2 linked regions of the Daphnia pulex genome follow. The protein of the gene in region 1 binds, or shares a complex with, the protein of each later gene. Links are inferred from orthologs where the notes say so. Each region holds a gene or a part of one and is shown in the gene's direction. Other genes may lie near its edges. The genes, in order: transient receptor potential protein-like and calmodulin.

Region 1 (3,921 bases):
CAGCAGCCACAAAAGAGAGCGGCAAAATAGTTCATATGTATAGGCTATAGACGTGATCAGCGGCGATGCAGACTATTATTACTACTCCAGACTATATGTAGCTTCACGTTCCGTCACGGTTGGCGAACGTGAATTGATAGGCCGGCCCACAGTCCGCCTGTATACATGTAGGTTTCTCTGTGATGTGTCCATGCAGATACTCGAGTTACTCCACCCTTCCAAACCGCATACAAATTCCTCTCATCATTCTCAGCCGTATAACCATGTCGTGGATGAATCTACTCAAAAAGAATAAGCCTTGACATGGAGGAGCCATCTCCTATACTATATACATATACCCCACCGGGTGTAACTGATATAAAATCGATCACGAACGACATGAGAAGAAGGAAGTACATATAAAAGAAAAACAAAATAATAATAACAAAACAAAGCAGCAGCATTTTATAAGCGCATAACTGTGCCCCCCTTTTCCAGATTTCCCCGGGAAAAAAATACCAAAATGGACGAATACATCAATAATTTCGATCGTGATAAATCAAACGATGTACATATAGGAAGGACCAAAATATAGCCGGACAGCAGATTGAGAGGGGCCACTGTTTTTGAAGGGCAGCCGGGGAATATCTATACGTGTTCTGATAGAAGCCACCACCATAGAGTAATCCTTTTAAGTGAAACATCGGGACAAAGAAGAATGGCAAAATTCTAAAACTAACACACAGGAGAGTATGTTGTGTGTGTGTGTAGATAGAGCTGACGCCTAACAAGATTAGTTAGTCGAAAATAGCCGAATGATTCCACCGAAAAACGAGGAAGTATGTGGACGAGTTTTGCAGAGCCTTCAGTAGCCCGGCACGCCAGCTGGCCGCTCGGACAATCCAACGAGTCCGTCCGATCCTGGATGGTAGGCCATCATCATGTGTAAGTATCGCCTTTTATTACCTGTGAATGTTTTAATAATTTAGAAAGTTGAATCTATTCCGGTGCAGCGAAAAGAATGGAAGGAAAAAAGAAATCGGATTCTCGGGAGGGTCTCATCTCCCGAGACTCGCAGCAGAGCCTGGTATTAAAATGACATAACTTTAATTTTTAAAAATGACGAAACTGACCTTGTGACCATGCGACAGATAAGTATCAAAGAAGATCCGCAGTTTGTGATGGGCCCGCCCGTCGAGTCGATCCTGAAAAACGAAGAGAAACGATATTTGCTGCTGGTCGAGCGCGGTGATTTCAACGGAGTCCGCAGGTTGGTCCCAAAATTCCATTTCCTTGCAAAAATGGCCAATTCCGACCTCAAACTCAAGTGCTAGCTGCGAACCAACAAGAATCCGATTTCAACTCAATGTTTAGTCAGTCACACGCCCGACCGATTTGCCAGTTCCATATCCTTATTCACAGCTAAAGCCCCTCTCCCAAGGAGAAAACTTGTCCACCCTTCTCCCCTCCCACATATTTAAGCTCGAGGACTTCCGAGTAAGACTCAACAAGGAGCGCTTTTCCTAGTGTCTACATAAATACTACTGCAGGGACCCAAAAAAGAAAAGAAACCCAACTTTTTTCTTCCTTTTTTTCCCGCGTGCAAAGGCACGCGGAAAATCGAATCATCAGATCCAGCAGGAAACAGATTTCTTTCAATAGAGTTCCCTATTTTTTTTTCTCTCCTTTTGGAAAATCTCCTTCATGCACCAACTCCTTTTTCTCCGTCAACTTTTGAGCGGATGAAAAACAGCCATTCCTAGAATATCAGTATAAGAAACAGTCAAAACCCCCTGACGTCCAGTTTGTTATTTGCTCTTGTCGCTATTGACCTTAACACAAAAAAAAGGAGAAAAGGTATTGCATCTGCAGAACGTGACACTGAAAGCGCATTGTCCTATTTGTTCAAGACATGGCGAAGGTCATATATCCTATATCTTAAGGGATTAAGTGAATCCTACATCTGCATAGCACCGAATTTTGGTTAGAGGAGCCCTTTAAAATTGGAACAAATAATTTGACAAAATTCTACAGCTTGATAGAAGACTACAAGGATCGCCCAAACGATTTGAACCTGAACTGCACGGATCCGCTGGGTCGTACGTCGCTCGTTATCGCCATCGAAAACGAGAGCTACGAGCTGCTTGAAGTCCTGCTCGAAGGTGGCATTAAAGTGTCTGACGGGCTCCTGCACGCCATCAGCGAGGATTACGTCGAGGCCGTCGAGTTACTTCTTGAATGGGAAGAAAAAAACCACAAGGATGGCACTCCTTACGTACGTCTAGACATTTCTATAATCGCTGAAAGAGCAAAAAGGATTTCTCTTTTACTGTTTTTCTTCTTCTAGAGCTGGGAAACGCTGGACAGCGAAAATGCCACTTTTACGCCCGACATCACTCCACTCATTCTGGCGGCTCACCGGAACAACTACGAGATCCTGAAACTCCTGCTGGATCGTGGCGCTGCCTTACCTATGCCCCATGACGTCCGGTAATTACAAGAAAAAACCCATCAGGATCAATAATAATTAATGAATCGATTGTGATTGAACAGGTGCGGCTGCGATGAGTGCATTGCTTCCAGCAAGGCCGATTCTCTGCGTCATTCCCGCTCTAGGATCAATGCCTACCGCGCACTAGCTTCGCCATCTCTTATCGCCCTGTCCAGCAAGGATCCCGTCTTGACGGCTTTCGAGTTGAGCAACGAATTGAACCGCATGTCCATCATCGAATCCGAATTCACCGTCGACTACAAGGTACGGACCTAATTATAATTGACCAGAGTTAAATTAGAAGCAGATTAATAAATATTTCCATGATTTGACGAGGGCAGCAACTGGAAGAACAATGCCAAAAGTTTGCGACGTCTTTGCTAGACCATGTCCGAAGTTCCTACGAATTGGAGACGCTACTCAACTATTCTCACGACTCTGAAGAAGTTTGGGAGCCCGGCGACCGCCAGACTCTTGACCGACTCGAATTGGCCATCAAGTACACCCAAAAAGATGTGCGTATTATCAGGCTAATTATAATCGTCTAACAAATCATTTTCAAAACCCCAAACCTAACCTAACCCGTTCTAAAGTTTGTGGCTCACGCAAACGTGCAACAATTGCTGGGAGCTATTTGGTACCAAGGTTTGCCGGGATTCCGTCGCCGCTCGGCCATCGGCCAGATCGTCGAGACGATGAAAATCGCGGCCAAATTCCCCATTTACTCGATGCTCTACATGATTGCGCCAACGACGGAAAAGGGGAAATTCATCAAGAAACCTTTCGTCAAATTCATTTGTCATTCGGCCTCGTATCTCTTCTTTCTCTGTAATGCGCCATAAAATTTGACTACGACTGCAGCAATTATGAACTGATTCCCCATTATTTAGCTCTACTCGGACTGGCTTCTCAACGCGTTGAATACCTCCTCATTGAATGGTTTGGCACTGAATGGATGCAGGAAATCATGGAAGATTGGAAACGTCGCGAAAGGGGATCCATACCCGGACCTATAGAACTTTTCATCATGTTATACATATTCGGTTCGAATGACTCTGCGATTCTAACAATAAGCAACATCTGCAACTGAAAAATGTTCCTTCTTTGACAAACAGGGCACATCTGGGCGGAAGTTCATTCATTATGGTCCGACGGTCTAATGGAATACATCACGGATTTATGGAACTTGATTGATTTCACTTCAAACAGCTTCTTCCTGGCTTGGATATTTTTACGAGGTGTCGCCTGGTTCATCGTTCAGGTAAAAAGATGAAGTTGGAAAAAATCAAATAATTACAACTCGGAAAGAGAGAAAAAAAAATCAATTTCCTGTTTCGACTGACTGACTGACGTCTGAGCGAAGCCTCAAAAATAGTGTTCAAGATTACACACCGCACCGAGAGAGAGAGAATAAAGTTGTCGTGTACGTATGAGTAATCTAATTATCTGGG
Region 2 (3,924 bases), on another chromosome or scaffold:
CCAACTGAATCGTCATCTCTCTTTTCGGTTGACTCTTTATTTTTTGGACCAGCCGCCGTTCCCAGGGGAATTTCTAACGTACAGAGTTTTACAGCGTGTAACAAGAAGACCAGTGAAAACAATTTCCGTGGTGATCGCCCCCCACCCGCCCGACCCTTTTTGGTCTCGCGTCGATTTGATTTGTCCGCCGCAAATAGAAATTAGATTTTACCAATGACTTTTCCCATTTTATTGACTTGCGTGAACGAATTCGTCGCGTACCTTTTTTTTATTTTCACTGGCGCGATGTCGTACCAATGCGGAAAGTTAATTGCATTACATTTGAAAAGTCTGCAGCACCCAACACTTTCTGCACGATGATGGAATTTAAATATTTGACTTTACACTCAGATATTTCGGCATAATTCAGTTAACGGCAAACACAAGTTGCACATTATTCCGTTTCCTTCCCTTTTTTCCCCGTGTGTGTGTGTGCGCCAACTTTTTCAACTTTAGCTACTTTGTGCGGATTGATTGAAACGTTAAGTCGGAATTTGGTTTCGAAATGAAAATGAATAAATACGTACACACTTTACACAAAAGACACGTTTTGGGGCGCAGTTGAATAGATCCCATTATTCGTACTACAATAATAGCTTTCATTTGATGATATTTTCTCATTGAAACATCTCACTTTCGTTTTTGATGTTACATCTCCAAGGCGGATGTATAAAGTGAAAGTTACAAAATCAAGAATTTCCCATAGTGTGCGAGTTTACTCTAGCCTTTTGAAAAGGATGTAGATTTTCTATTAGTTTGGTGGCTAGACTTCTTTTATAAAAAAAAACCCCAACTTTACCCACAGGGGTGCCCTGTAACAATGGTCGAATTTATTTCCGGTCTGAGAGTTGGTACGAATTTATAACATTGGCAACCAATATAGCCCACGCATATATAGGATGTCTTTGAGAGAAGACATGTGTATAGTTTAGCAGCAGCAGCAGCAGCAAGGTCAACAACATTCCGTCTCGCACTGAAGCGTGTCAAGCATAACGCCGAGCCTTTGCAATTACGCCAAATAACATTCGCCACTCTAGCGCAATATCATTTCTATTCAGGGCTGATGGTCTCTCCATATATATAATAAAACCCGAAACTCATATGGACTGACGGTATATAGAAAAGCTTAGAGCTTATACTCATCATTCTTGACGTCTACTGTGCTGCATACATACTACTGCGACGCTGGGACGGCCATATGACAACTTGTATCGGAGTTGATCCGTCCCTGACGGTGTGTGTGTGTGTACCACCGCATTGCTCAATGACTCCCGATTTTGAAAGTCTAGAAAAAGAATTACGGTAAAAGAAGGAGAGAAAAAAAAAAGTCAACTTATTTTATTTTTTGAGGATTCGAAATAGTAAGAAGGTTGCGCTATACCCGGTCAATATACGTAGAGAGAGAAAAGGGCTTCTTCCTCCTCTCCGCAATGTGCATGTGGCGCCTCTAGTCGGGCCCCGCCTCTTTTCCCACTCTCTCTCTTCCTCCGAGCATTCGGCTCAGTTGGCTGTCGTCTGTTGTGCTTGGTGAACGTCCCCCGTCGCTGCTCGTTGTGGTACCGCCTTTGCTCTCTCTCCTGCCCCGTCGTCCAGGATAACTTAGTTTTTTTCCCCGACAACTCTCTATTTCATCCAATAATATCCACTATGGTAAGTACTTCCACGTCGGCATCCTCTCCCAACCGGCACACGAAAATTCCGCCATTTTTAGTGCCTAGCCTACACTTGACGGAAATATAGATTTTATGACTGGAGAAGAGTCGGGTGGGTCGGGGGGAGGGGGAAGTAAAATCAAACGACCTTTTTCTTTTTTTTTTTCTTTTTTCCTATTTTCTTCTCAGATAGTTGTCGCTTTTGACATTGCCGGCTCGTTGTACTGAAACAGGGGGCAATTTGGCCGTCATCGCCCTCGAAATGTCGAATGCTTCTTTCTTTTCTAATTTTGGAGTAGCTCGTAACAGCTTGCTGCTGCACACGTCAATTTAAGCTCGGCACACAACCAGACTTGAAGCTCTCAAACAATATGGTTGCACACTGACCAGACAAGGCCAGTAGTAAAGAGAAAGTTGGTACTGCTAGATTTATTCAGGGCAAATTTACACAGTCTGGTTTGAGCAATGTTAATACCAATCAAGGCTCTCTCTTTATTACTCATGTTGAAATGTCTTGGAATTCTCAAGACAATTATATTAACCAGAAACATTTGTACCTCTACAGGCTGACCAGTTGACAGAAGAACAGATTGCTGAGTTCAAGGAAGCCTTCTCCTTGTTTGACAAAGATGGTGACGGCACCATCACCACCAAAGAGTTGGGAACTGTCATGAGGTCGCTTGGACAGAACCCCACTGAAGCTGAACTCCAGGACATGATCAATGAAGTTGATGCTGATGGTACACACATTATTCAATTTTTCTAATTTATTGCAACTCCAATAGATTATCAAGTATTCTGACAAGTTTGTTTTTGCTGCTTAAGTGGCTTGACTGCTTGATTCTTGGCAGTCAAAAGACTTCCTGAAATATCTGCTCTCTGCTCGCAGAACTTTTCTTGAATGAGAATACTGGCTGCATGTTTTCAATATCAATGAAAATTGTTTTGAACCACGTTCATTTCTTATTGTTCATTTTGTTTCTAATCATACAGAAATCTAATGTAGTTCTTATCATTCTAATCCAAAGGTAACGGAACAATCGACTTCCCCGAGTTTCTGACGATGATGGCTCGCAAAATGAAAGATACCGACAGCGAGGAAGAGATTCGAGAAGCCTTCCGTGTGTTTGACAAGGACGGCAATGGTTTCATTTCAGCTGCTGAGCTCCGGCACGTCATGACCAATCTAGGAGAAAAGTTGACCGACGAAGAAGTCGATGAAATGATTCGCGAAGCTGACATCGACGGAGACGGCCAAGTTAACTATGAAGGTAAAAACTATGATATGTCATGCTCACCTGCATCCAATTTTCTTTTATCGCAGTCGACATCGTCTGTCCGCCTGTTAAACCCTTAGATTTTTAACTAAGCCCTGCATTTACAAATAGTCAGATATCCACATTTTTAGGGAGGTTCTTGCATGCACGTGCGGGTCCCATACTTTCCCAGATGGACCAAAAAATAATGTGGAATATGGAAGTAGAAATATTAATTTAAAAAGCTGCTTTTGGTTCCATGTGTCTAGAAACTATCAAAGACGCACCTTTAATATTCTGTTGGTACACAGACGCATAATTTCTAGACTCTGTGACAAATGTCAATGTGACAACGTAACTCAATTATAAATTTTCTATTTAACAACCATGGCTTAACCTAATCCGATTTTAATCTGATTTTGGAGGCATTCACAAACAGTTTTGGTGTTAGAAACATGATGATGCATCGATTTTAAACCGAAATTAGCGCGTTACCTCTAAAATATTCATCGTCTTTCGTCGTAAAGATTCAGTCCAACCTGGTCCTTTAATATGTGACCTGAATTCCCAAGACGTTTTAAAATTTGATAGTCGATGCAGGACAACTCCTATTTTCCCCCACTTTTGTCTAGTTTATAGTGGAATCGATGATACTAACACGATTTTTCTTATCTTTGCAGAATTCGTGACCATGATGACCTCGAAATGAATAAATCCTGCGGTGTCGTGCCCCTTCCCCAGTGAGCCGTGTGTAGCGTGGACGTGGTTGTGTTTACCGAAACAACAATCAACAACAAAACGTACCATACTTTTCAAAGCAACTGTTTGTAAGACTACAACAACACCCGGCTGACGATACGCAAAACAAGAAAAAGAAAAAAAAAAAAAGAAAATAAGCCAGTTGTCATTGATCTTTCGAGGGCGGCATCCATTTTGTGAAGGGAAAATAACATCACCAGATTTCTGTTTCAAATAGT

Evidence for each region.
Region 2: the proteins of transient receptor potential protein-like (region 1) and calmodulin are in contact, whole or in part, in a crystal structure (PDB 7CQV), measured with the Drosophila melanogaster proteins. The link is inferred for Daphnia pulex from reciprocal best matches to the Drosophila melanogaster genes trp and Cam. Residues at the interface, in NP_476768.1 of Drosophila melanogaster: Gly804, Lys805, Met807, Glu808, Arg809, Ile811, Leu812, Asp814, Phe815, Gln816, Ile817, Val820, Glu821, Lys824; in NP_001246276.1 of Drosophila melanogaster: Glu12, Ala16, Leu19, Phe20, Lys22, Leu33, Val36, Met37, Ser39, Leu40, Gln42, Glu48, Asp51, Met52, Glu55, Val56, Ile64, Phe69, Met72, Met73, Lys76.

The regions. Positions count from the first base shown.
Region 1 is NC_060025.1:8,989,379-8,993,299, reverse strand, and holds the start of transient receptor potential protein-like, read left to right. Parts: upstream 1-830; 5' UTR 831-920; coding exon 921-924; exon of another isoform or gene 925-945; intron 946-992; coding exon 993-1,066; intron 1,067-1,112; exon of another isoform or gene 1,113-1,130; coding exon 1,131-1,249; exon of another isoform or gene 1,250-2,013; coding exon 2,014-2,254; exon of another isoform or gene 2,255-2,326; coding exon 2,327-2,469; exon of another isoform or gene 2,470-2,532; coding exon 2,533-2,734; exon of another isoform or gene 2,735-2,742; intron 2,743-2,811; coding exon 2,812-2,985; intron 2,986-3,063; coding exon 3,064-3,298; intron 3,299-3,360; coding exon 3,361-3,513; intron 3,514-3,585; coding exon 3,586-3,731; intron 3,732-3,921. UniProt on the Drosophila melanogaster protein: A light-sensitive calcium channel that is required for inositide-mediated Ca(2+) entry in the retina during phospholipase C (PLC)-mediated phototransduction.
Region 2 is NC_060018.1:7,623,677-7,627,600, forward strand, and holds the start of calmodulin, read left to right. Parts: upstream 1-1,444; 5' UTR 1,445-1,686; coding exon 1,687-1,689; intron 1,690-2,256; coding exon 2,257-2,431; intron 2,432-2,719; coding exon 2,720-2,962; intron 2,963-3,627; coding exon 3,628-3,656; 3' UTR 3,657-3,924. UniProt on the Drosophila melanogaster protein: Calmodulin mediates the control of a large number of enzymes, ion channels and other proteins by Ca(2+). Among the enzymes to be stimulated by the calmodulin-Ca(2+) complex are a number of protein kinases and phosphatases.